Linked DNA regions of Lonchura striata. The protein of the gene in region 1 interacts with the protein of each later gene in a pairwise test. Links are inferred from orthologs where the notes say so. Each region holds a gene or a part of one and is shown in the gene's direction. Other genes may lie near its edges.

Region 1 (7,923 bases):
AAATTCCCAAATAACCTCTAATAATTTTCCTCAAAATGGCAGAATATCCATCTGACTTTCATTTTTTGTAAATGTATCATTAGCATCTGTATACAAACATAAGATCATGGTGTTTTGTGGAGGCAGAGTTCCAAACTTTCATATTTAGGACTTAGAGCCATGAATTGGTCACTTAAATTCTGCAGTGACTGACTAATCTGGATTGCATTACTTAACCTCCACTGATCCTATTATGGATTTTAAGATGTGAATGCCATGCAGATCAGAATTATGCAACCTAACCTCTATAATCCATCTATATATAATTCTTCTGCCACACACTCAGAGTCCTGCTACACTCCATGGCCATTCCTGACAACCTCTTTCATCAGAGGTGTCACAGACACAATGTGGAACTGTTTCAAGGAATGGCAAATAAGAAGACTGGGCCAAATGTATATGTTTTGTACATGTTTTGCCCATAATGGTATTTGGTGAGTGATGTCTCTGCTGGACCTTATCTCAATCCACAAACCTTTAGTTGTGTTTTCTCTCCCCAGTCCATTTGCAAAGGGGAGTGACAGGGATGCTCTGGTGGGTACCTGATGTCCAGCCAGGGTCAGTCCACTACACTTACACAGATTTCTTCTTGTATATTACATGGCTTCCTAATAATATAATTACCTTCATTTTGCTTTAGCAGTAATGGTTGCCTCCCCAGTTCTCATTTCAAAAGTCCCACAGCTATCAAAATATTGCAGCAGAGCAATGACATTGACATATAAATTAGTTTTTGTAAAGTGCAACTTGAGGTATTTGATATAGCAAAACATCAAATGCAATGTAAAAAATAATGATTTTTAACCTCATTTGCCCTTTTCCATACTGAGCATATCTTGTCTCTAGCTAAGGAGTCATCTCTGTACCCACACCAGAAAGTGAGTGCATTTCAGCACCTCTAGTGATTCGAGTAATAGAAGCTTTCATTTTTAGAGGTAACTTTTCCAAGTCATAGAGAAGGTGGCCAAATTTCAACTCAGAACACATATATGGTGCAGATTCTAACAACAGCAGAGGCACAGAATTTACAAAGACAAGGCCCTAAAACATGTGCTGGTTGGAACAAAAAGTAGTAAGTTGTCTGAGGTGTCTGAATGGTGACATATATACCTAACTTGCCTCTGCTTTGTTTGCACAGGCAGGACTCACACATACTACAGAAATAAACTATTTGCATTGAAAACACCCGTTCGCTTAATTCTCCTCAAAAGAATCAAACGTGGAAAGCCCTGAAACCAGCTGCTGCTCAGCAAAATAATACCAGTACTCCAGGACTGTGTTCTTCCAGCTTTCTAGCCTGGACAGAGGAACACAAACAGGATTTCAGAACTGAGACACAAATCAGGGCAGATTTTCTGTCCTCTTTAGGATATTCAGGTAAAAGGAAGGAAACTGTCTGCAAGACCTCTGCTTCACACACTGCTGCATGAGACTGCTTGCAGAAGTTGAAGGACCTACCACAGGTGAAGAAGCAGCAGGTCCTTCTCCCCTTACTACCTCCACACAGAAAAATAAAAGCCCAGGATGAGTCTCACATTTTTCAGTTGACAACTGAATACACATTTTATTCTTAACAAAGAAGCTAATGAAAACTTTAAGGAGACTGAAATGATTTGAAAATTATTTGTGTTATATTAAAAAAAAGTTCATTTTATTGAATTGTCACTATGAAAATAATTTTTTAATTAAATATATTTAAGGAATCAGCATAAAAAACACACACCTAGATTAATGATCTTGTCACCATTATTTCTCATTCTTCAGATGCAGTGAACAGAGCTATACCACCAGACAAACTGAACTATTCTTGAGCATTCTTGTACAGAATCATGTATATTGACTTAATCAAAACAACAATTTACAGAATGTTAAATATTTTTACTTTAAAGCCAACAGAAAATGGGAAATAAATTTGCAGGAAGTCACATTATCTTGCCAGTCACAAGACAGGAAGTTGTCTGAGAGGATTCTTACTGCTAAGTAGAATATTATATTATGCCCACAGCTGTTTTAGATACTTTTCATGTGAATTGTAAAATTATATAAAAGTGGGTTTGTAATGTTTAGTATCTGGACGAGGTTGTGCCATGAATAACCGTTCCATTTTTGAATGTACTCTTCCGAAAAAAAAAAATTACAAAGCAACTGGAAATTTTCCCCTCAAAGCCTTCTACACAAAGAAGCAAACTTTAATGCTGCAGGTTTGAGATACGCTGCTTGAAACATATTAATGACTTTATCAGATAAAGCATGATAACAGTTTACTGTAATAGTACCATTAAGTTTATGGCAGAACCCCTTTTAAAGAACCATGGAACTTCAATCCCTAGGAATATTGCAACATAAACTATCTAGAAATGAAACATGCCTTTCCTTGCCTTCTAGGTAAAATAAAAATAGATTTTGTTTACAATGCTCTAAGCAACCACCCCACAAAATAAAAATCTAACTAAAACTGCATATACTTAGCGAAAAGAAACTATTTCCTTAACAAATATGCTACATAAGTGCAATATTGCCATGCTTCTGGGCATTCAAACAAATGATGCAAGTTTATAATCTGGCCTTCAGTGATGTGAGGCACTCCAGATTCCCTTTAAATAGTGAAAATTCCTTCTCCTGATTTCCCATGTTCCTGTCTCTCCCTCTTGGGAAAAAGCCAATCAACAGTAGTGTGGGAATCAGACACGTTATTACTGCCAGCGTAGCTTGCCCCATCTTTTTCAAACAGAAAAAGAGAGTAGGTCATTGGCACTCCTATAGTACCACCAGAGTAGGGAAAAAAAAAAATCTCACAGTTACAGGAAAAAATGAAATGGGATCACAATTGACAGAGAAGGTTCTTAGAGAGCAGCTGTGAAAAAGTGAGGAAGAACACAGGAAGCCTGAGGTAATGGAATGTGCATTGGGAAAGTGACGTCTTCCAGCAGCAGCACCACTATGTTTTGGGTTCTCCACGAAGTTTGGACAACGAAATATATCAGTTGGCAAGCATGCATACAAAGACTAAGAAGGAAGAAATAAAAATCCAACCGACAGACAAAACCACAGTATAATCTTTTATTATAACTTAATTTACTTGATGGTCTGACTCATGATTTTTGAGTCCTCCGGGTTTGCAGCTATGCTCCACTTTTTCACCAGATCAAGCAGCACATTTACCGTGTAACTTCCTGAAAAGGGATTTGGTTGCTGCTGCTTCTTGATTTCACTGCTTTACCTAAATCAACTACACATGCTTCTACTTCAGCGTGCATTTAGAAAAAGGGACAACTCAAGCACAAACCCTCTCGTGCCGTCACTCCCTTAGAACCGCATTTCGGAAATAATTACGAGGGCCCCGCTTTCCCCGGTCTCCGGAGCGCAGAGTCCCACAGGGCAGCGCTCGGAGCAGCGCAGCCCGGGCTGCCGGCCGCCCTGCTCGGCCCGCCGCGTCCCAGCGGGGCCCGGGGGCTGCGGGCGGCCGCTCCGGGAGGAGCCGCCCGGAGCAGGTATCGGGCCGGGCACCGCTTCCCCAAGCCCCCGCGTCCCCAGAGACGGCCGCACTTTCGCGGCTACATTCACTCCGGCTTCAAAAAGTAGCTGAAAAGTGGGAGCCCAGCCCGCAGGCGGAGACTCCGGCGCTCAGCCGCGCCTGCCCCAAGCCCCCCAGCCGCTGCAGGCGCCTGAGCCGGGCCCTTTGCCACCGGCGGCCACCGCTCCCGGGACCCCTTCGCGGCCCGCGGGGGGCTGCGCGGAGCCGCTCCGAGCGGGGGCCGCCGGCGCGCCGGGCCCCGGCAGCGGCGGCCCCGCGCCCTCGGAGCAGGAAGGAGCGCGGCAGCGGGCAGCCCGCGTATCCCTCCGCGGCGCCGTGCGTGCGTGTGCGGCGGCGGCTCCCCGGGAAGCGCGTGAGGCAGCGCCAGGGGAGGGAACTACTTTCAGGAAACTCGAGCGCCGGGCAGCGCCAGGCGCCGCGGGGAGGGCGGCGGCGCGAGCCCGTCCGGCGGCGGGCGCGGGTCAAGGGGATTACTTTCCTCCCTTCGCTCTTCCCTCCTCTCCCGCCTCCCTTTCCCCCGTGGTTATTTTGGATCAAGCTGTGGCGGCGGAAGGAGCCTGAAGTCAACGCTTCCGCCCAGTTTTCCTGTGAGGAGGAGGCGGGGGCGGCCGCGAGGAGCCGAGGCGGCGGCAGCGGCCGCTAATGGAGTTGTTGCCGGGGAGGAAGCGCCTCCGCTGAACTTCCCCGCGGGCTTTCTCCCTCCTCTCCCCCTCATCCTGCAGCCGAGGGCTCCTCTCTGGCCCCGGGAGCTCGGCTCCCCCTCCCTGCTCGCGCCTCTCCTCACACAAACAGCCGTGACGCATCCTCGCTCTCCGCCGTCCCCCCCCTTCCCACCCCCAGGCTGGTTTAAAACGCCTCCCTCCCCCCGTCGCCAGCCTTCTCCTTCGGGCCGGCGCGTCCTCCCTCCGCAGTGCTTGGCGTCGCTTTGGAGGGGGTGGGAGATCCTCGCCGAGCCTCTCTGCCCCCCTTTCCCCTTCCCTCCCCGCCTGCCCCGGCCTGTGGTGGCTCCGGTGTCTGGAGGAATTTCTGCCGCCGCCTGCCCCGGCTGTGCGCGGGAGGCGGGTGGGCAGGGAGGGAGGGAGGCGGCCGAGCAGCAGCAGAAGGAGGAGGAGGAGGAGGAGGGCAGCAACGAAGGCGGCTGCAGCGGGAGATGAGCTGCAGCGGGAGGACGGTGCGGTGCAGCTTTTTGCGGCGGGGAGCCTTCCCTTGTCTCCACAACTCTATCCCCCTCTAACTGGGAGCAGCTCAATATCAGAAGATCCGTGGGTTTTGCTTCTATTTGCTTCACCATCGCCACCATCATCATCGTCGTCTCCAACGATAGGGGAAGTAAGGCTGCACCGCCGGACATCAGGATTTCGGGTTTCCAGGATAAAGACCGCTCTCCTGTTCCTTCCCCCCGCCTCCCCTCCCTTACTCACCGCACGGCCCGTGCCCTGGCCGGGGGCGGCAGACAGGGGGTAACAATGGTGAAGTTTCTGGTGAGTTCTGGCTGCGCCCTGGCTGCGTCGGTGCTGCTCCGTGTGCCTGTCGGATCGTGGTGAGGAGAAAATGAGCGAAGAGACGGCGACTTCTAACGAGTAAGTGGCGGTGCTCCCCCTCCCCTGCGCCCCGGGATCGGAATGGGGATGGGGCTCGACGCGTCCCTTCGGCTCCGCGCCCCGCGGGGCCTTTGCCCGCGCACGTACGTGTGCTGTCCTCCCCCTGCGCGGACTGCGCATTTCTGCTCGCGTACATGGAAGCCCAGAAGCTCCCTCTTTGTGAAGGAGCTTAGTTATGGAAGGGCTACTAGCCGCTGGCCAGAAAAGCCTGATTTAGTTAAAGCCCGGTAGAAAACGGTGCAGGTAACGATGGTGCCTTGGAGGGGCAGGATAGGTCTGAAATGCCCAGAGAGGTGTCGGCACTTACTACCTCTGATAAAATCCTATTACTTGTAGATATTTCACATGGAAACTAGTGTGTGGGAGCTTCATCCTGCAGGAAACTGCTCCTGAATTTTAATTGGATGAGTCAGTCAGTGTAAATACAGTTTAAACCTACCCTAAAGCTCTTTTTTCCCTTTCTTTTTTCTCTTTTTTTTTTTTTTTTTTTTTTTCTTTTAATGAGCTCTTGGGACTTTCCCCCCTTCCCTTCCCCCTCCCCACCCCCCAGAGAGGAAAGGGATCTCTTAATATTTTTGCTCTGACTGGTTTGGATGAAATCCAGAGGAGATTGTGTGTGTGTGCGGCTGTATTCTCCTGCATGTAATTGGTCTTTGAAATACATTCGGGTCGGAGACGGTAAATGTTTGTCAGAAAATATCCGAGTTCTTTATGGCTTTGAAATAGGAATATAAAGTATTTTGAAACTTTTCTTGTGGTCGGGAAGTTTAAAGTCGATTGCTGCGGTCTCCGAGCCGTAGCGTTACGATTTGCGATGTCGATGTTTGCTCGGTCTTATTTTATGAATGATGCGGTGACGGCCGCGGCCATGGCGGTGGGGAGGGAGCGCTGCGCCCATTGTATCTGTAGGTAGCGGTGAGCGGCCGGGAGCAGCCGAGCTGACAGGCAGAGTGCCGACGGGGCTCCTCCGGCAGGAAAGATGGATTTCCCATTTCACTGCCTACTTCTGAGCAAAGCCTGCGCACCTTCCCGTGCGCTCCGCAAGCGCGGCGTTCGGGTCCCCGGGGAGCGGCGCGGGCCGGCCCCGCGGGGAGCGGAGCCCGGCGGGGCGCGGGGCGCGGGCGCTGCCGCCCGCGGCGCTGAGCGGGCCGGGGCGAGCCGGGCCGGGGGAGCCGCCGCGGCGCCCGCGGGGCCGGCAGCCGGGGCCGCCGCCGCCATGTTTCCTTTTTTTGTGAATCGCTCTCATTTGCATACCACAATCTCCATTCATAAAAAAAAAAAAAAAAAAAAAAAAAAAAAAAAAAAAAAATTGCGAAAAAAGAATTGCTGTCACCGCCGCTGACCTGCGGCGGAACCTGCCCTGCGGAGCGCACGAAGCGGCTGCTCCCGGGCTGAGGGCCGGCCTGCGGCCCGCGGCCGGCGGCGGAAGGTCTCCAGAAGCTGCTGTATTAATATGTACTGTTCGCTGCTTGTTGACACAGTTATGTGGGAAATATCAGCTCGGGGAGGTGCTGGGAACACGTGATCAGCTCCATTCATAAAATACCTGGCTGTCCATTCACAGTGCAGTACAGTGTCTGCATTCAGCAGCCTCGAAGATCAGACCTGCATGGGAAGGGAGAGGCAGCCAGGCCGGCAGGTTTATCGAAGAGGGCAGCAGAAAGAGGGCTTATGGCTGCGAGCATGGGAAGTCACTGTAAAGGGGGATGTGGAGGGACGAGACAGGCTTATTTTTATGGTTTATGTTTATCCTTTTCCTATAAAGGAGCATGAATTCAGAAGTACCTTCTCGCTGTACCATCTTACATTTAAACCAGGAAGAGTTTTATTCAGAAAATGTTGAAATATTGTCCCCTTCATGAATACTGTGTCAAAAATAGAATACTGACAATCAAATTCATTATTATGAATGTATTTTCAAGACAGAGAATTAATCCATTTGGAGTAATTTACATTTTATTGAACAATACAGCCTTACATCTGCAAAACATCATGGTGCAGAAGGAAGTCAGTCATACCTAATTAGGCATCTGAAAATGTTGCCTATTATACAGGTGACAGTGAAGACAACTAAATTGATAGAAATCAACATTGCTATTCATTTTTCTGTCTGTTTACTAAGAGAATTTTACAGCAGATTAGCAATCGTACTTTCTCCTTAACCTATGCCATGGCTAAAGAAACCTCTGAAATATCAGAATACTATGAATGTTTTTAATATGGTATAAATTACTTAGAGGGCACTGTATTATCTTTGATTTTAAATTTATTGAAAATTAAAAATCCCACAGTGGAATTTACTGATGAAGGATCCGCAGAGTAGACAGTGTATTTTTTTTATGCAGCTGTTTTGTGGTTGCCAGTGTTAAAATGGTGATGTTCATTGCTCATGAGTATGCTTTTTTATTATCTTAACAAATTACACAGAGGTGATCCTTAATTATACATCCATGGAGTAGAGGAGGCTTGTTGTTAGTACAGCCTAAGAGATATTACAAATCTTTATTTAATAAAAAAAGGAAAGTTCATATACAGTATTTGCTTTGCGTTTATTCAGTGGTGCTATAGAATGAAATGTGTTCTTATATAAATACCCTTACAAAGCACTATAAACTATGCTTTTTCTTAAAGAATTAATGGTTTTTTTGGTTTTTTTTTTTTTACCTCCTGTATTTAAATATCAGAAATAAAATAAGAAAAATGCTTCTCGGTTGCTTTGCTTTTTTTGACAGCATGTTTGGTGTGGCC
Region 2 (7,301 bases), on another chromosome or scaffold:
GTGAGGCCTTCAGATGAATGGGTGAGGAGATGTACATAGAGCACAGAAATGCAGATGTGACTTTCTTGGCATCCCACAGGACTGTTTCACATCCCCGAGATGTATCACACTTCCTTTCCTCTCCAGTCCACTTGAGAAATGATACAGATGAACAGGAACAGTGTTTACCATTTACATTTCAGCTAATAGAACTTTTCTTTTTAAAAAAATGTGTGATACTACTTAACTTCTGGTTAACTCTACTTATTCACCAGTTTCTGTCTCAGCTTTGAGATTAATCTGGTACTTCCGAGTCAGCTCCTGAAACCATAGAGAATACTTGGTTCCCTTCACTGATAGCCCATCCAGTCTGTTACTAAAATAAGGAGATGTGAGGTCTGAACAAAGATGTAATAATTAAGAAATCTAGCATTTCATAAAAACACCAGAATTACACTTGTTCAGGATATCACTAGGATTATCATATATTAAATAGCATAATTTGTACCTCCTTTTAAAATGCATTTTACTATCACCATGGATTAAAGTATATGTTGATATCTAGAAATCAATTTTTCCTCTTACCATTTTATTTCTTAGGCTTCACTTCTGTGTAACTAGTGCTGAACTACATTTTTTTGTGGATAGTTTCACATGATAAATGGAGAGCTCTGAAGTTCTATTAGCACATAAGGAGGTGAATAAATTACTGTTCGATTAGACTAAAAGATATTGCTGCAAAGTACTTGTAACAAGATAATTGCAAGTGCCAGAGCTGAGAGTAGCTCTCAACACTGGCAGCAGCTTAGTTAAACATGTGGTTAATGATGTTATAGGAAGAATGGGTATGTAAAATATTCAACTCTACCAGCAGTAAATACTCATTTTATTTGACAGCAATAGGGATTTACTGAGACTGATATTTGACATACAAAACTCCTATAATTATTTTAATATCTTTACTTCCCAATGATTTTAATGATATGACAAAGATTTTAGGTGTTTGCTGAAACAGCACTACTGTCATTTACTATCAGTCAAACAAAATGTCATTCTAACGCATTTAAGTTCAAATGTCTGAGTAGTTTTAATACCCATTAAACTATGTAAATTGTTGTAAAGAATGTGTCATTTTCAGGTTTTATACTTAGAGTCTAAAACTGACAAAAACCTTTATATTAAACATTTGTTAGAATATACAATACAGAAAAGCATGTAAGTTGGGATTTTGCCACAAGAAGAAAGCAGGTTTATTAAAGCCTGAGTATAAAACCAGAAAAGCAGTGTGTGACTTTGTACCTTTAAATTAGTTTATGAAAAAACAGGTAGTGCCTCATGGAGTTGATTGCTCAGTACTTTTCATTACAAGTTTCTTCAATCTCTTAAAAATATTGCCAAGTTTTGAACTATTCAGTATGGAGTTTTCCTGCCCTAGGCAGGAGTATTTTGGAAAGCTGCTTCCAAAATTCAATCACTCCTGAACAATATTCCATAAAAAGGAAGTAGGAACATTAACCTGTATTTCACAAGCTGGTGTTTCTTGTTTGGTGGTGTTTTGGTTTTTTTTGGGGGGGGGGTTTTGTTTGTTTGTTTTTGTGTTGTTTTTTTTTTTTTTTTTTTTTTTAATATATAGTGGTTTTTGAGCAGGAACCTGAAGTTCTGCAGAATGATAATTTCGCTGTTCCAGGAGGTGCCTTTGATTAGCCTCTAAGATTTGGTCAAATTTGTCCCCTGCATTAAGCCTGTTCTCAAATTACGGCTTGTCAGCTGAGCTGTAACTGACTCTGCGTACATTCCTCATTTGCTGAGTGGAATATGCTAATTCAAACCACCTTTAGAGGAGTTCATATTAAAGAGCTGTTCTTCACAGTGACAGCACACAAGCAGACATCAGCTCAACATGAAAGTGGCAACTTTGGAGGCAGAGGAGTGTCTCTTTTAGTATCAACATCCCACGGTTTAAATCAAGAAAGAACTTGGCAATTACATTTTCTCAATGTCCCTTCTCTGCTCAGTGTTCTCAGGCTGAAGGCATCAACACATTTTCTTCTCTGTGAACCGTTCAACCAACGGGGATTAAAGTGAGCATAGAACAAAACAAAGCTGCATCTCAATGCTCCTTTTCACATCCCCATTCAGAGATCAGAGTGGTCGCCATAGAACAGAGAGAAGGTTGGTAACAGGCAAAAGAAAAATGGAAATAGATAAGTAAAGAGCTGGAAGAGGGAGGAGAGCAAAAGAATCTGAGGGTGGCAACTGAAATAGAAGTCGGGCAAGGGGGAAAGCAATAATATGTGACACATATTGCAGCAGATTTCAACCTCAGAGGAACCGTTGACATTATTATGTCATTCTGCCCCCCAGGACTCCAACTCATTTCAGGAGTCTTTCCTCGGGCCCTGAGACTCATATCAGGAACCCAAAACCTCTCCGGCTCTGCTGTCAGTGAAAACCAAGGTAAACACCTGTCAAAGTATTTGTCACCACTCTGTGTGAGGCAGACACTCACAGACGGCTGCCACAAGCTGCCTGTCTGTTTAAGTGGTAGAGATCTGTCCAAATATGTATGTGGCAAGTAAAACAATTGATCTGAAAAAAGTGGAGGTACTGTTCATCTTGCTTTTAGGATCTTTTTTTTCCCATAACTGAGTCTTACTACAGAGGTTGCTGGCGTATTTGGGCCCTATTGTCCTCAACTGGCACCTGAATTCTCCATTGTCATTTACAGTTTGGTCTCATTGAGAAAACTGGAGAAAAGTCTCACTGCAATCCCAGGAAAACCCATCGATCAGCCACAGTGCCAGCTGCATGTCTGTGAAAGTGTGAGTACATAAATTGTACGATGAAACTTCAATGAGAGATGCAGAGCTGTTTCCTGCACTTAAATCTTTTTGTCATGGCCTTAAAAACTGCTGTGTTTGTGTGTGCTAAAACCCTTCCTGTGAGACAGAAATAACTGCAATTATTAATTTAGTCATCTGTGTAGTTTATAATTCCAGGACGTTTAGAGGTAAGGCACTTTGCACTTGATATGCAGTTTCCAAAGATAATACCTGACAAAACAAAGGCTTACAGTGACAGCATCATTGAGCTTTATCCTAAGGAGTTAAATGAGTTCAAAACCTATCATCAGTCACTGATAGGATTTGCTTCTATCTGCTTAAATCCTGCATAAAGTGCCAGTGAATTGTTAAAAGCTGAAGATGATAATCAGACAGCCTAATAGAAACCTGTGAAAGAATGGTATTATTAGGAGTAAAGTGCTGTATTATTGCCATTTGTAAAGTATTCCCAATTTTGGCAGTACGTGTTGTATTACTCCTCTCTTAATGGAATATCGGAGAAAAACCAAACTGACCAAGCCATTGCAGATTCTGAGACCCTCAAAACACTGAGATTTCCTCATGAGACAATCCAGGCTTAGGTGCTAAAACACTGCGTTAGAATTAAGTCATACCTCCTGGCATGAATCAGCTGCTAAATCCAGTTCAATCGTGTATCTTTGATACAAATCCCTCCTGGATAACTGCAGTGTGGAGTAAGGTGCCAAAGGAACCTCCAGACCCAGGTGCTAGAGGAACTGCTGAGGAGCATTAGGTTGAGAGTAAAAAAAAAACAGAAAAGGAGGCGCTGAAGTAGATACAGGGTAGAACAGTAACTTTGTCATCCGCAAGCGTCCCAGACGACGACTCAGAGACACTGCCAAATAGATGCAGAATGTTTAAATGTTCAAAAAGCAGTGAGACACTCGATTCTATCAGTTAAGATTCTTTGTGACTGCGCTGCTCCAGCGCCACTGGGGCTCCGCCGCGGCATCAAACCCTGCCAGGCGGACACCGGGCGCACCTGAGCAGGTGAAGAGCGGCGCAGCCTGGCACGGCTGCAGCTCGAGACGGAGCTTCCCTCCCTTCTCGGGCACCGCGTCACTCCTTAAACACTTTCTAGATAAAGAAACTCAAGCAAACAAAAATTCTCGAAAGAGTTCGGGGCTGCAGGACCCGAGTCCCCCTGCGGCTGTCACTCAGCAGAGGCTCCGCGCCTGCCGGAGCTCGGCACGCACAGGCACCGCTGTCCCCCGGCAGCCCCCGCCCGGCCCGGCTGCGCCCCGTCCCGCCCGGGCGCCGGTGCCGGAGCCCGCGGCCGCCCGGGACGCGGGGGGCGGGCCGCCCTTCCCGGCTGAGCCAGCCCCGCTCCGCCCCGGCCCCGCGGGGCGGGCCCGCCCGAGGCCGCGCCCCCGCCCCGCGCTGCCGGCCGCCCCCCCGCCCGGCACGGACCGCAATGATTTAGAAGTTCAGGAATCCCACGTGACGTCACGGAGGGTGATGTAATGCTTCTCTAAATAGAACGTATTGTAACCGTCCCTCAGTCCAACGTGGTTCCTCCGGCCGCGCTGCCGGTCCCGTCCCCGCCGCGCCGGGCGGTAAGTTCCTAAAAATACGGGGCTGCCCCGGGAAGGCGCCCGGCGCGGCGCGCCCCGCACGGAGCCCAGCGCAGCAGCGCCGGGTGCGCGGCTGGGAAGGGGCAGCCTGCGGCTGCAGGGGCTCTTCCCTCCGCCACCGCATCTGCTCCGGAGGCGGCAGCGCCGGTCTCCGTGGCGGGCGCGGAGTCCCGCCGCTCCCGCGTCCCCGCCGTGCTCGGGGAGAGGGGCGTGAGCGACCCCGAGTCCCGCGGAGGGTAGCGCAGGGCAGGGCAGGGCGGCGGGGGCGGCAGCGCACGGTCGCCGGGACGCGGGGAAGCTGGACTCCCCGTCCGCACTTCAGGGAGTTTGGGAAGTCTGCGCGCTGCTTCCCGGGACGGGACGGGATGGGATGGGATGGGATGAGACGGAGCGCAAGCAGCACCCCGCTGGTGCTGCCCCGAGCGGAGCGAGCGGGTGGGCAGCTCCCGGCGGAGCGACCGCGGAGTCCCCGCGCTCACGGCGGGCTGGACGGCTCCAGCCTCAGCGTAACCCGGCGGCACCCGGCGGTGACAGCTCGGCGGCGCGCTGCCCCGCCGTCCTCTCTCCCCGCCGCTCCCAAAACTTCTGCATAAGTTTCGCGGCGGCGGCCGTGCTTCCCTGCGAGCCGGGAGCAGCAGGCGGTGGCCGCGGAGCGGTGCGCGGGGTGCTGCGCGGCCGCTTTCCCCGTGAGATACCCCGGGTGTCGGGCTGCTGCCGGCCCTTACGTCATGCTGCGGGCCGGTGCGGGGCTGATGCTCCGCTTCGGATGCCCTCGGGTGCGGGGAGGGGGCGAGTGTTGACAAGGTCTCTTCTCTGCAGCCCTCCTCTCCCTTTACAGCCTCTCTACTCCGCTCATCATTACCCCCGCCCCCAGCTCCGCGTCCCCCCGCTACTGTCCTCTCTTACAGGGGTCTCTCTCTCCCCAGCGAAGTTTTCAGGACGATAAGAGCTGCAGGAGTGTAAGGGGAATACTTGCTAAACTCTGCCTCCTCTATTATTTATGTCCGAGCATGGTGAGTGATCCTTCATCTCCAGGGCTCAATGTAAGCTTTATAATTGGAAAGAGAGAGGTAGTTTCAGAGATGGGGGTAGAAATAAAGGAAAATGAAATGTCCATATGTTGCTTAGTTTTTCTTTTTTACTTTTTCTAAATCCAGATTGATATGAGAAGTGACCTAAACAGAAAGATTAGAAGATTTCCGTATATTATCAGTAAGAAACAGTGCTTAGCTAGATGAAATTTAAACTTGAACAGAAGGATAATAATTACTGTGAAGCATCTTGGGCTTTTCTTGAGACTGCAGTTTTTTAGAGAAAGATTCACCCGCTGGTGTGCACCAGACTTTCCTTGTCTGGCCATTTGGACAAGCAGCAGTGAGTCAAGGAGCAGTGATGTAGGAAAACTTTCTTGTAAGATATATGCAGGGATAATCCGGAAACTTGTCTGAAAGAAAATTGAGAGGTAGAAAGTGAGAGCCGAATGCAAAAGCGTAGGGTAATTTGTGGGAATTTTGCTGAAGGAGGTATGCTTCCCTAAAGGTACTATTTATTTTCAGTATAAAAGTGTACAGTGGTGAAAGTCCCCGCTCAGTGTTTTGTAACTTTCATGTGGCGAATGAGGTTGTCGGTATCAAAAGCTGGAAATTCTTAATAAAAAATGGCTAAACTCCTTATTTGTGACTCCTTAATCCTAAAGGGAGCTGTACAGGTCGCAGAGCACTAGGGAAAAGTGTGATTAATGATCAGTGATTAGTGATAAGTGATTAGTGGTTTTATTCAAACTGTTACCTCTGACCAGAAGCACACATCAGAGGATTAACAGGCTCTTTAGATAAATGCTCATTAGTGGAAGGGGGAAAGCAAAGATAATAGGCGTGCACACAGGGACAACTTTCTAGGAAAATCATTCCTGTCTCTGGCATAATAAGCTCTGTTAGCAGAAAGGCTCTTTAATTTAAAAGTTGCTTTTATCTTGTAAATCAAAGATAGATGTAAAAGTTTGCTGCGCTATTATAGCCTAAATTTTCCCATATCCACTAGATGTGGATTATCTCAGTAGTGATATTTTATTAAAACAACCCCACACCACAATTGAATCTGTAAGAAATTGAACATTCCCAAGGCTAAAGCCCTGCATCCCGAGGCATCTGCTCCCAAAGCCTGCTGCTGGCAGCTAACTAGATGGCGCAGTCCTGTTGTGTGCGAATGTACACTTCTGGGTTATGAACTTAGCAAGCAGCAGCTTGCTAGGTGTCCTTCAGCACAACGAAGTTGATTCTGTGCTGGGTTGGAGGCTAGACAGTGCTATGAGTTTGTAGTCACATTTTCCACTTCAGTTAATCTGGGGAGTTAAAGGCTGCTGGAAAAATTAGTCTCATTTACTGAGAGAGATGGTGAGAGAAAGAAGAGAATGAGAGAGGGGCAGATAGCTACGGCCCGGGACGTAACTCTTGATTGCACTGTTTTGTACTGCTTAAATGAAGTACAGTTCTGATGGCCCTAATTAATGAAGCCTGAAAGCTCTTGGGAGTTTTTCCCCCAGCTATAACTGGCAAAGTGAGTCTTTTTCTTTTTTTTTAAATAAGTCACTAAAAAGAAGGAACAGTTGGTGTGGTGGTTGAACAAAGCAACTTAGACCTGACTGTGCTTTACAGATTATGGTAAGGAGCCTGTTTTTATAATAACTAACCAGTGTTTTTTCATTACTCCTAATTATATATGGCTTGGGAAGAAGTGGTATCTACTGCTGTCGATAAATTTGGGAGTTTCATTTGTCCCATTAGCTTGCATGGGATTTATGTTTGGTTTCAACTGTAGAGTTCATCGAAGATTCAAAACTTTAAAAGAAACACTTGAGTGAAACAGGAAATAGAAATAATGAACT
Region 3 (8,060 bases), on another chromosome or scaffold:
AATTCATGAAAAATACAGAGAAAATTTTCATATCATTTTTGTAGGTAGAGTCAATTCAGTTTTCTTCTGCTGTTTATGTTTCTTTCCTTATAAATCATAGTTTGGCTATTGATAATTCTCCTTTCATTCAGCCTAAAGGGCCCTTATGTCTCCCTACAGTTTAGGGGAACTATAAATTAAAGGCAATACTAAGTCAGATGAAAAAGGAGCATTATGTGGAAAGAAGGTAAAGTTATAACTTTTTAAAATATTTGTTTAAACTTGAATGACACCATACAGGAGAGCTCACATAATGCTCTTACTGCTCTGGTGCTGCATTAAGTTATAAACTGGTCAATGGTTAAAAAAAAAAAAAGGGATGGACCTTTCTTTCACTACCAGATATTTAGCAACTTCATAGCTGACATAAATATTTAGTGTTTCTCAAAGCCCAGCATAATGTCACATATAGCCTATACACACACTATAAAAATATTAAAATAAAAATACAGCACACAACACTTAGCTGAAAGGGTACCATTCTTGCCTCGTGCACCCCTCCATGGCTATAGCAAACAAACTTTACACTCAGTGCTGTACTTTTTCAATCACACACTCTTAACACAATCACTTATGTAAATCATATGGACTGCTTTGTAAACAAAGCATTGTATGCATAAAGTAACATATCCTTCATGAAGTCCAAGGATATGTTCTCAAAAGGAGGTAAAGATACTTTTTATGGGTGTACACTTAGAATTAGACTCTCTTACATGGAACTATATAAGCAGTATTTTACTGCTCATCTCTAGGGCACTGCAGCAAGAGAGGTTAGTAATCACAGAGTGGGAGTGCAAGTCATGAAACACAAATGTTTCTGGCAAGGCAAGGTCTAGGAACTTTTATTAATTCACAGGAAAGCAATTCACTCGAAAATAGTTTAGGAGGTTGCAGAGCTGGATACCATCATAAAATAGCCAGGTAATAAAGTTCACAAAAGGAAGTGATTTTTTCAAAAAGGATCTGAAGCAAAAGGAGGAATTCCAAACATATGAAAGCAGTGTGAAGCTGAAAGGAGGGGCAGAAGACAAAAAGATAAAAGTATGCAGAAGATAGAGGATGACATCAGTACAGAGATCAATGAGAAAAGTATTCCACAGAGATGTGAAGATCAGAATATTTTTCCTAGCAGAAGAACTGAACAAATCTTAGAGGCAACAAATTTCAAATAATTACAAGGAAGTACATTTATATGTAACACATGAAACTAATTGCCTGTGCATACTCTTGAAATCAAAAGCTTAATGGGAGCCAGAAATGGATAAATTACAGTTCTATTACACAGGATTAATTTCATGTGTAGAAGGTAAAAAATATCTTTGTGTTTCCTGGCATGAGTTAGGTACTAAGTAATGAAAGGAATTAAAAAGAGATTTACCTAATTTAACACTATGCAATACTTATCCAAGATGAGGCAGCTGTAACTTCTGCTAAAACAAGACATATCATATCATCATATCGTATCGTATCGTATCGTATAGTATCATATCGTATCGTATATATCATATCATATCATATCAATCATATCATATCATATCATATCATGATATGTCCAAGCATTTCATATACAAAATCTCATCGCGCCAGTCTACTCTACCAAGGTACTCAGAAACTCTTCCTGAAAGCAAACTCTATCTTGATTTTTTTTTAAGTTAATCCCTTTAAAACAATTGCTGTCAGTTATTGCTGGAGAAGGCTACTGGATTAGCTGGGTTGATATGGTGACTCAGCATGCCATGTAGCTGTGTTTTCATGGATGGAAGGGCAGTGTGAAAGTCATGAAACCCAAGACAGAGATGACTAATCCAGCCTGCCTTAGCAGCAATGAAGGCATGGATTGTCCTGTGCAGCATAACTGTAGTCTGGAACATGGCAAATGTGAAAATTGTGGCTGTGTTTAAGGCAAAAGTAAATTATCAGTTTGTTGAACAATGTAAGGATGGGATAAAAACTTGAACACTCTAAACTATTGGCTTTCTTTCATATTAACACAAACAGTATTTGAGGTTGGGTGGAGATCAGGACTGAGGCTGTTCCATCGTTACTTAGTCTGCTTTGCCCAGTACTAATGTCCTGTTTAAATTTATACATTCCTTTTTGGAAAAGGTTGTCACCAGTAGCAACAGGCAAAATATTTAGTACTGAATAGTCTTCATATTTGTCCTCTAGAATCCAAACCTGTGCATGTGGAAAATAATTGGGAGAAAAGAAGGCTCAGCTCCTGTATCTGCTATAGTTCCAGACACATCTTGATTTTAGTCATGCAAAAGAGAAGAATTGCCATAACTATTAAGTGCAGTGGCTCTTCTCTTTGCTTTACCCACTGCCAATAGATACTAACTCCAGATATCAGAAGAGTTACTCCATTTTATGGTAACTATCCCATGGCTGGACTGTCACTCTATCTGTAAACTGCATTGTTTGACTTTGATTCTAGAGCAGGAGTTGCTGCCCTTTCTACAAGCTATTCCCTTTATCTACAGAAATACATTTTCATCAATTCACCTCCTGAGGTGAAATCTCTGTCTGACTGAAATCAAAGACAAAACATCTAACTTCAAAGTGCTCATGATTTCTGCTCCCTTCTTGTTCCGCACATGCATTATGCCTTAAATTTTAATTATTTCTTTTTATTTGTTTGAACTCTTTATTTTACCACATTATTTTCCTGTCCCTCACATGAGAAGGAAATAAAGAAGCCACACTGATTTGCCTTATATTTCCTATTATCTCATAAACTTTTTTCATTATAGGTTCTTTCTGCATAGGAGAGTTCACATAATTTCAATCTTTGAATACAAATTTTCAGCCTCTGATCAGTGTTCATTTCTCTTTTCCTGCTACAATACCTTTGAGCTAAGTAATGAGGATTGACCACTGTATCCAATATCAAAGCATACCATTAATGCAAGGGGCAGGCACAGTAGAGGTACTCCTTCTCCTTTTCTTCATGGCTTCTAAAAAACTGCTTTTCTGTTCACCACTGGGCACTGAACAACTTCTGTACAGAGAAGATGGAAAAAACTGCAAAAGGTTAGAGTAAAGCTACATGAAAAAACAGCCCCTCCTTGTGATATTTATGTTTCTGCTGCTGGCCCTGGCAGAAGTCCAGACTTGGAATGAACAAAACTCCCAGTGGCTTAGGGACTACATTATTCAGCCCATAGTCAGGAAATGCAAAAGCATGTGACAATGGGAAGAAATAAAGCAAGCTTTCCAATGCTTTTGAGCTTCCAGCTCAATCAGCTTGGATCAGAACTCAGGGACTGTTGAGATTTTTGTGTGAATGAGTTCTCTATTGCTAAACAAAAACATGTGTGTGTTGTAGTGAAAGACAGTAAAGTGGTAAACAGTCTGTGGCTTTGCTTCCTTGTTGATATTTCTTTTTTACAGTACTAGCACTACATATAAAACCCCATTTTATGTACAAGGCCACTGTACTTTCTCTTCAAATACAGTGACAAACTCTTTGCCAAAATTCAAAGTCAGCTCCCTATTTCTCCTCCTTTCCAGGAAAGCTACTTCATAATTGTTGATCACTACTCAGTGCCAAGACTTGGTTCTTCTGAAAGAGTTGGGTAATGCTCCATGTCATTTATTAACCACTGAGTCAGGTAAAACCTCTGTCCTTTAGAGAAGATTTCATCTGGGGAACGAATATCCCAATAACAGATGTTGGGAAAATAATGTCAAATTCTCTCAATAAACTCTGTTTAAAATACAGAATGCCCACAATTGTATTATCATGGACAACATTTTCCAAGCTCTTGGAAACACTGTACAGAGCAGAGATTTCATCTTTCCTTTTTCTCCCAGTATGGAATCATTCTCATTGGACAGATGTTTGTCTTTACAGTCCATGTTTTACCTAGAAGCAATAGGATCACTAAACATGAGCCCCTATCTGTGCAATATTTTAAACCATTTCTATAATTCCTCTCCCTCCTTTACAAGGTTAGCGACAGAGCGATAAAACCAGAACCTTCAAGACAGAACACTGAGGGCAGCAGGTGTGTAAGCACTGTCATATTGACCATTTCCATGACCAGAGAGGAAAATTATTACATTTTCCTTAAAAGCATGAGATTAATAGTTTGCGAGAACACTCTGAAGAGGCCTGACTATTTCAATAAACTAACATTAACTCTTCCAGATACAATGTTTTCTTTTAGGGATTTTTTTTTTTAATTAAAAAACACCCTATGAATCTTATCACATAATTTCATTGAGAGCAAGCAGGTTTCTGCAGCAATTTTGTTACCTGTCTGTCTGAGCACAACTGAGGATCAACAGGTGGGGACTGACATGATCTGTGTGATAAGCAATAGTTTTCTGAGTCCTTGATCTGGTTGGATCACAAAGTTGCAGTCTAGCCCATAGTGGGGAAAGTAAGAACTGGTAAGTTAAGGAGATTGTGCTCGTGGTGAACAATACAGGGGTCTGGCATTCAAAAGTGACACCTCTTATGTTTTGCTCCTGGAACAGAATTTGTCCATGAAACTCTTACTAGCTTAATGTTTTTTTTAATGTTAAAATATCAGCTGAAAAATACAAGCATATTTGCCATCTCAGCCTCCAACAGAAAACCTTCACTGGATTAGCACAGACTCTGCTGTTGCCCCAGCTCCCCTCAGGTGGCTTTAACATGCCTGAACCCCATCAAACCTCAGACCAGAGAGTGATGGGTGAAAACAAATGACACAAACTCCTTAAATGGTTCTGCCATGTCCAGGTAGCTGGGAGCCTGCTGGAAACAGCTTCCCCAATACTACATCCCAATGCTTTTGTTTATCTAGCCCTGCTGACATTTTCTTCAATTAGGAAACAATAGCTCCGTTCCAATGTACTGAGCACAATTACTGAAACTGAGTCACGTGGCACCAGGAGAGTGTGTTTTCAATTATTCACTCTGTCTTTTTTTGCCAGGCCTATGAAGAGGAACAGCCTTCTGCAGGAGTCAGGTTTGTCTGCCTCGCTGCTGTAAGTTCTTCCTTTTAAATTTTTATTTTACCATTAGGGTTTTTAATTATCATTTTTTAATTCTGCTCTCTGAGAGTTTCTTCCTCTTTATTAGAAAACTTCCAAATCTTTAGCTCTACCTACTGTGGGGAAACCCTAGTCAGTGCTAATAGTACTGCGCAGCAATGAATCTGAGTAAGAATACAAGATCTAGATTAAATTAGGATGCAAGATCTAGATTAAAAGAGGATGCTGCTAGCACTTGGTAATGTAAAACTCATCTTGTTCTTGCTAGTAAAGTCCTGTATTTCCTGCTGTCTGGTTAACAGCAGAGCATTCACATTCAATCTGGGAGCTACACCAAATTATTTGTATCTTGTAAATGCTTGGTTTAATATCCAACCAAAAATTTGAACCAAATGCCTACAGCTCAGATCATGTATTTTGTTTGCAGAAGACAGTCTGAGTTTGAACTTTTAAGATTTAAGGCTGGAAAAATAAAGCTTGGGGGAAAAAAAAAAGAAACATAGAAGGAACATTTGGTTTGCATTACAAACCACAGACAGCTTCCATCAGGCAAGCTGGAGGTATCAGAATGGCAAAAGAAAATGACAAGCAGTGAGTGCACTGTAGAAAAAGACGAATGGTTTAGAGAATTGACTTTGAAGTAATTGTCCATGCCATCAATATCTCAAATTAAATTTGGTGGAAGATGGCAATGAATCATAAAGCTTCTCTGGTACTTGTGATATTGTATGCTGTGTAAAATAACAGTTCTGGATATTTTTATTGGAAAATTTATAAACTACATTTTTGATACCTCCTATATTTCTGTCACTTATGCAACCCTGAATCAGCAGCTCTGGAAAGAATGTTGCCTTAGTTAGGACTTGTGATCTAACACGTATAGCAAGAGCAAGTATTTAACTGGAAGTGTTCAAGTCCAGTGGGTTTATTTTCACGTCAGCCCTTGTCTCACTGTGGGATTGGGTAAGTCATTCAGGGTTAAACTTGCTCTTTGAGTGGATGGAGCTCTCATGGGGATGGGGGAGGAGGAAACAGCTGATGGAGCAGGGCAGAGAGTTCTCTCTGCATAAGATAAAATTTCTCAGGAGCATTACAGGGGGATGGGAAAGCAGGATGCACTTAGACCCGTGTTTCCTTCACTGTTTCAACAGGTGCTTCCATCATCCCTGCATCCCAGATGTTTAGCAGAGCCAGAGAGGCACCTCTTGGACATTTAGTACTGATGGCAGTTCTCCCTTAAGCCCACTAGCTTCAGGCAGAGCAAAAAAGGACTTCATTCTAGCATGCCAGTCGCCAGAGAGCTGCATTCTGACCATTAAGCTATCAAGTCCTCTGCTTATCCAAATGCTTAATAGCTCTTTTAAAATAATTCCTCTTTGAGAAAAGTAAGAGTGTGTTTAATTTTTGCACAGAATTGAAATACTTGAATGCAAAGTCTTCTTTCTTTTAATTTCCCCACATGGGCAGTATTATTTAGGTCTGAATGTGCAGCTTGGGTACATCTGTGATGTTGTTGCCAGTGTCTAATAGCAATTGCCAGTATCACAGAAGGGGCACCGATCCCTACACCGGATTTTCAAGTGATGCACATTCCACTCACCTCCAGCTCTGTTGCTTCCTACCCAGGTGCTGAGAGTAGAGACTTGCAGAAATTCCCTTTATCCCAGACATTCTTTCCTTTTCAACTCCACATTCTGGTCTAATGGGCCAGATAGCATTTTTACATTTAGTCATACAAGGAAACACAACATCATAGACGTTAACAAGATTAATTTCCTAATACAGTGGAGATGGGATTTCTGAGTTCAAATATTTAGTTCATGTATATGATGGTAGACTAAGGCTTTAGACTTACCATAACACTAAAAAGTGCATTTTTGATAAGTCACAAACAAGATCTCCAAACCTTACATTCGTGTGCTCTGTGTCACAGGAAGAGAGTGTGGCTGTGCTGCTGGGCAGTTCTCAATCACACCAAACTTCTCATTCATAAGAGCGGCTACTCTGAAAATAAGAAAAAAAGTAGAATGTTCTGTGAATTGAAGGGGATGGGGAATATGCAAGTCCAGTTTGACCCTGCAAGCTTCCCTCATGCCAGTGCCAGGGAGGCTGGGAGACCAATGACTTCCATTCCCCTGTTCCAATCCAGCGGGGTCAGACTCCCACTGGAGCAGAGAGGATCCCCACGACACACAGAAAGCACACCAGCTTTGGGGAACTTGACATATCCTGGCTAGTTTCAAACTTCCACCTGAAATAGTGTCTTGCTTGGAAATCCCTGGAGTTCCAATAATCAGGACATGAGTTTTTGAAGCGTTAGGGATTTTGTTTTGGAAAAAGAGACATAAGGGAGTAGAGCAATAATAGGAGTGATGTGATAGAAAATAAGTAATGATGGAAAGATGTAAAAGCATTACCTATCAAAAACACCAGAAAAGACTGCACAAATAAACATCCTTCTCCCTGGGACATCTCTTCTGCACCTGAAAATTGTTTTAATTTTAGAAATTCAAGCAAATTCAGATTCATGCTGAACTGTGGATTACTCCAGCAGTGTCATAGTTCCTTTAAGCAGGTGTTCAGTGTCATAGAGTTTATCATCTGCTTTTTTTTTTCCTGTTTAATTAAATAAGAAAAAAATACCAAGAAAAACAATCCTGCAGCTTTATTACAATGTTGACTTGTATTTATTATCCAAATCTGGTTTGGTCTGAATTTGGAGGCCTGTGTTTCTTGTTGTGGCTGTAAGGAGCCTTATAAAATCTGCCTTCTTTATTTCTGATTTACCAGCAGAACTTCAGCTACAAAGTGCATACATATCTACCTAATTCTGCACAGAAACAGGGAAAAAAACACCAAACCAAACACAACACTCCAGTTTAGAACACGATGGACAAATTTTTCTCTCAATAGGATACCTCAAAAGTGCTTTTTAAATTACATTGATTTTCAGGTTTTTTGTGTAACACCTATGGCATCTTTGATTTATGCAAATACATATGTTTCAATTGCTATTTTCTCTTGAATGACAACAG

What was found.
Region 2: the proteins of SPRED1 (region 1) and CREB5 interact in binary tests that used the Homo sapiens proteins (3 or more experiments, as listed by UniProt). The link is inferred for Lonchura striata from reciprocal best matches to the Homo sapiens genes SPRED1 and CREB5.
Region 3: the proteins of SPRED1 (region 1) and IL16 interact in binary tests that used the Homo sapiens proteins (3 or more experiments, as listed by UniProt). The link is inferred for Lonchura striata from reciprocal best matches to the Homo sapiens genes SPRED1 and IL16.

The regions. Positions count from the first base shown.
Region 1 is NC_134608.1:30,927,993-30,935,915, forward strand, and holds the start of SPRED1 (sprouty-related, EVH1 domain-containing protein 1), read left to right. Parts: upstream 1-4,919; 5' UTR 4,920-5,125; coding exon 5,126-5,154; intron 5,155-7,923. UniProt on the Homo sapiens protein: Tyrosine kinase substrate that inhibits growth-factor-mediated activation of MAP kinase. Negatively regulates hematopoiesis of bone marrow.
Region 2 is NC_134603.1:122,802,387-122,809,687, reverse strand, and holds the start of CREB5 (cyclic AMP-responsive element-binding protein 5), read left to right. Parts: upstream 1-4,240; 5' UTR 4,241-4,399; intron 4,400-5,343; 5' UTR 5,344-5,427; coding exon 5,428-5,430; intron 5,431-7,301. UniProt on the Homo sapiens protein: Binds to the cAMP response element and activates transcription.
Region 3 is NC_134613.1:15,908,165-15,916,224, reverse strand, and holds the start of IL16 (pro-interleukin-16), read left to right. Parts: upstream 1-4,970; 5' UTR 4,971-5,019; intron 5,020-8,060. UniProt on the Homo sapiens protein: Interleukin-16 stimulates a migratory response in CD4+ lymphocytes, monocytes, and eosinophils. Primes CD4+ T-cells for IL-2 and IL-15 responsiveness. Also induces T-lymphocyte expression of interleukin 2 receptor. Ligand for CD4.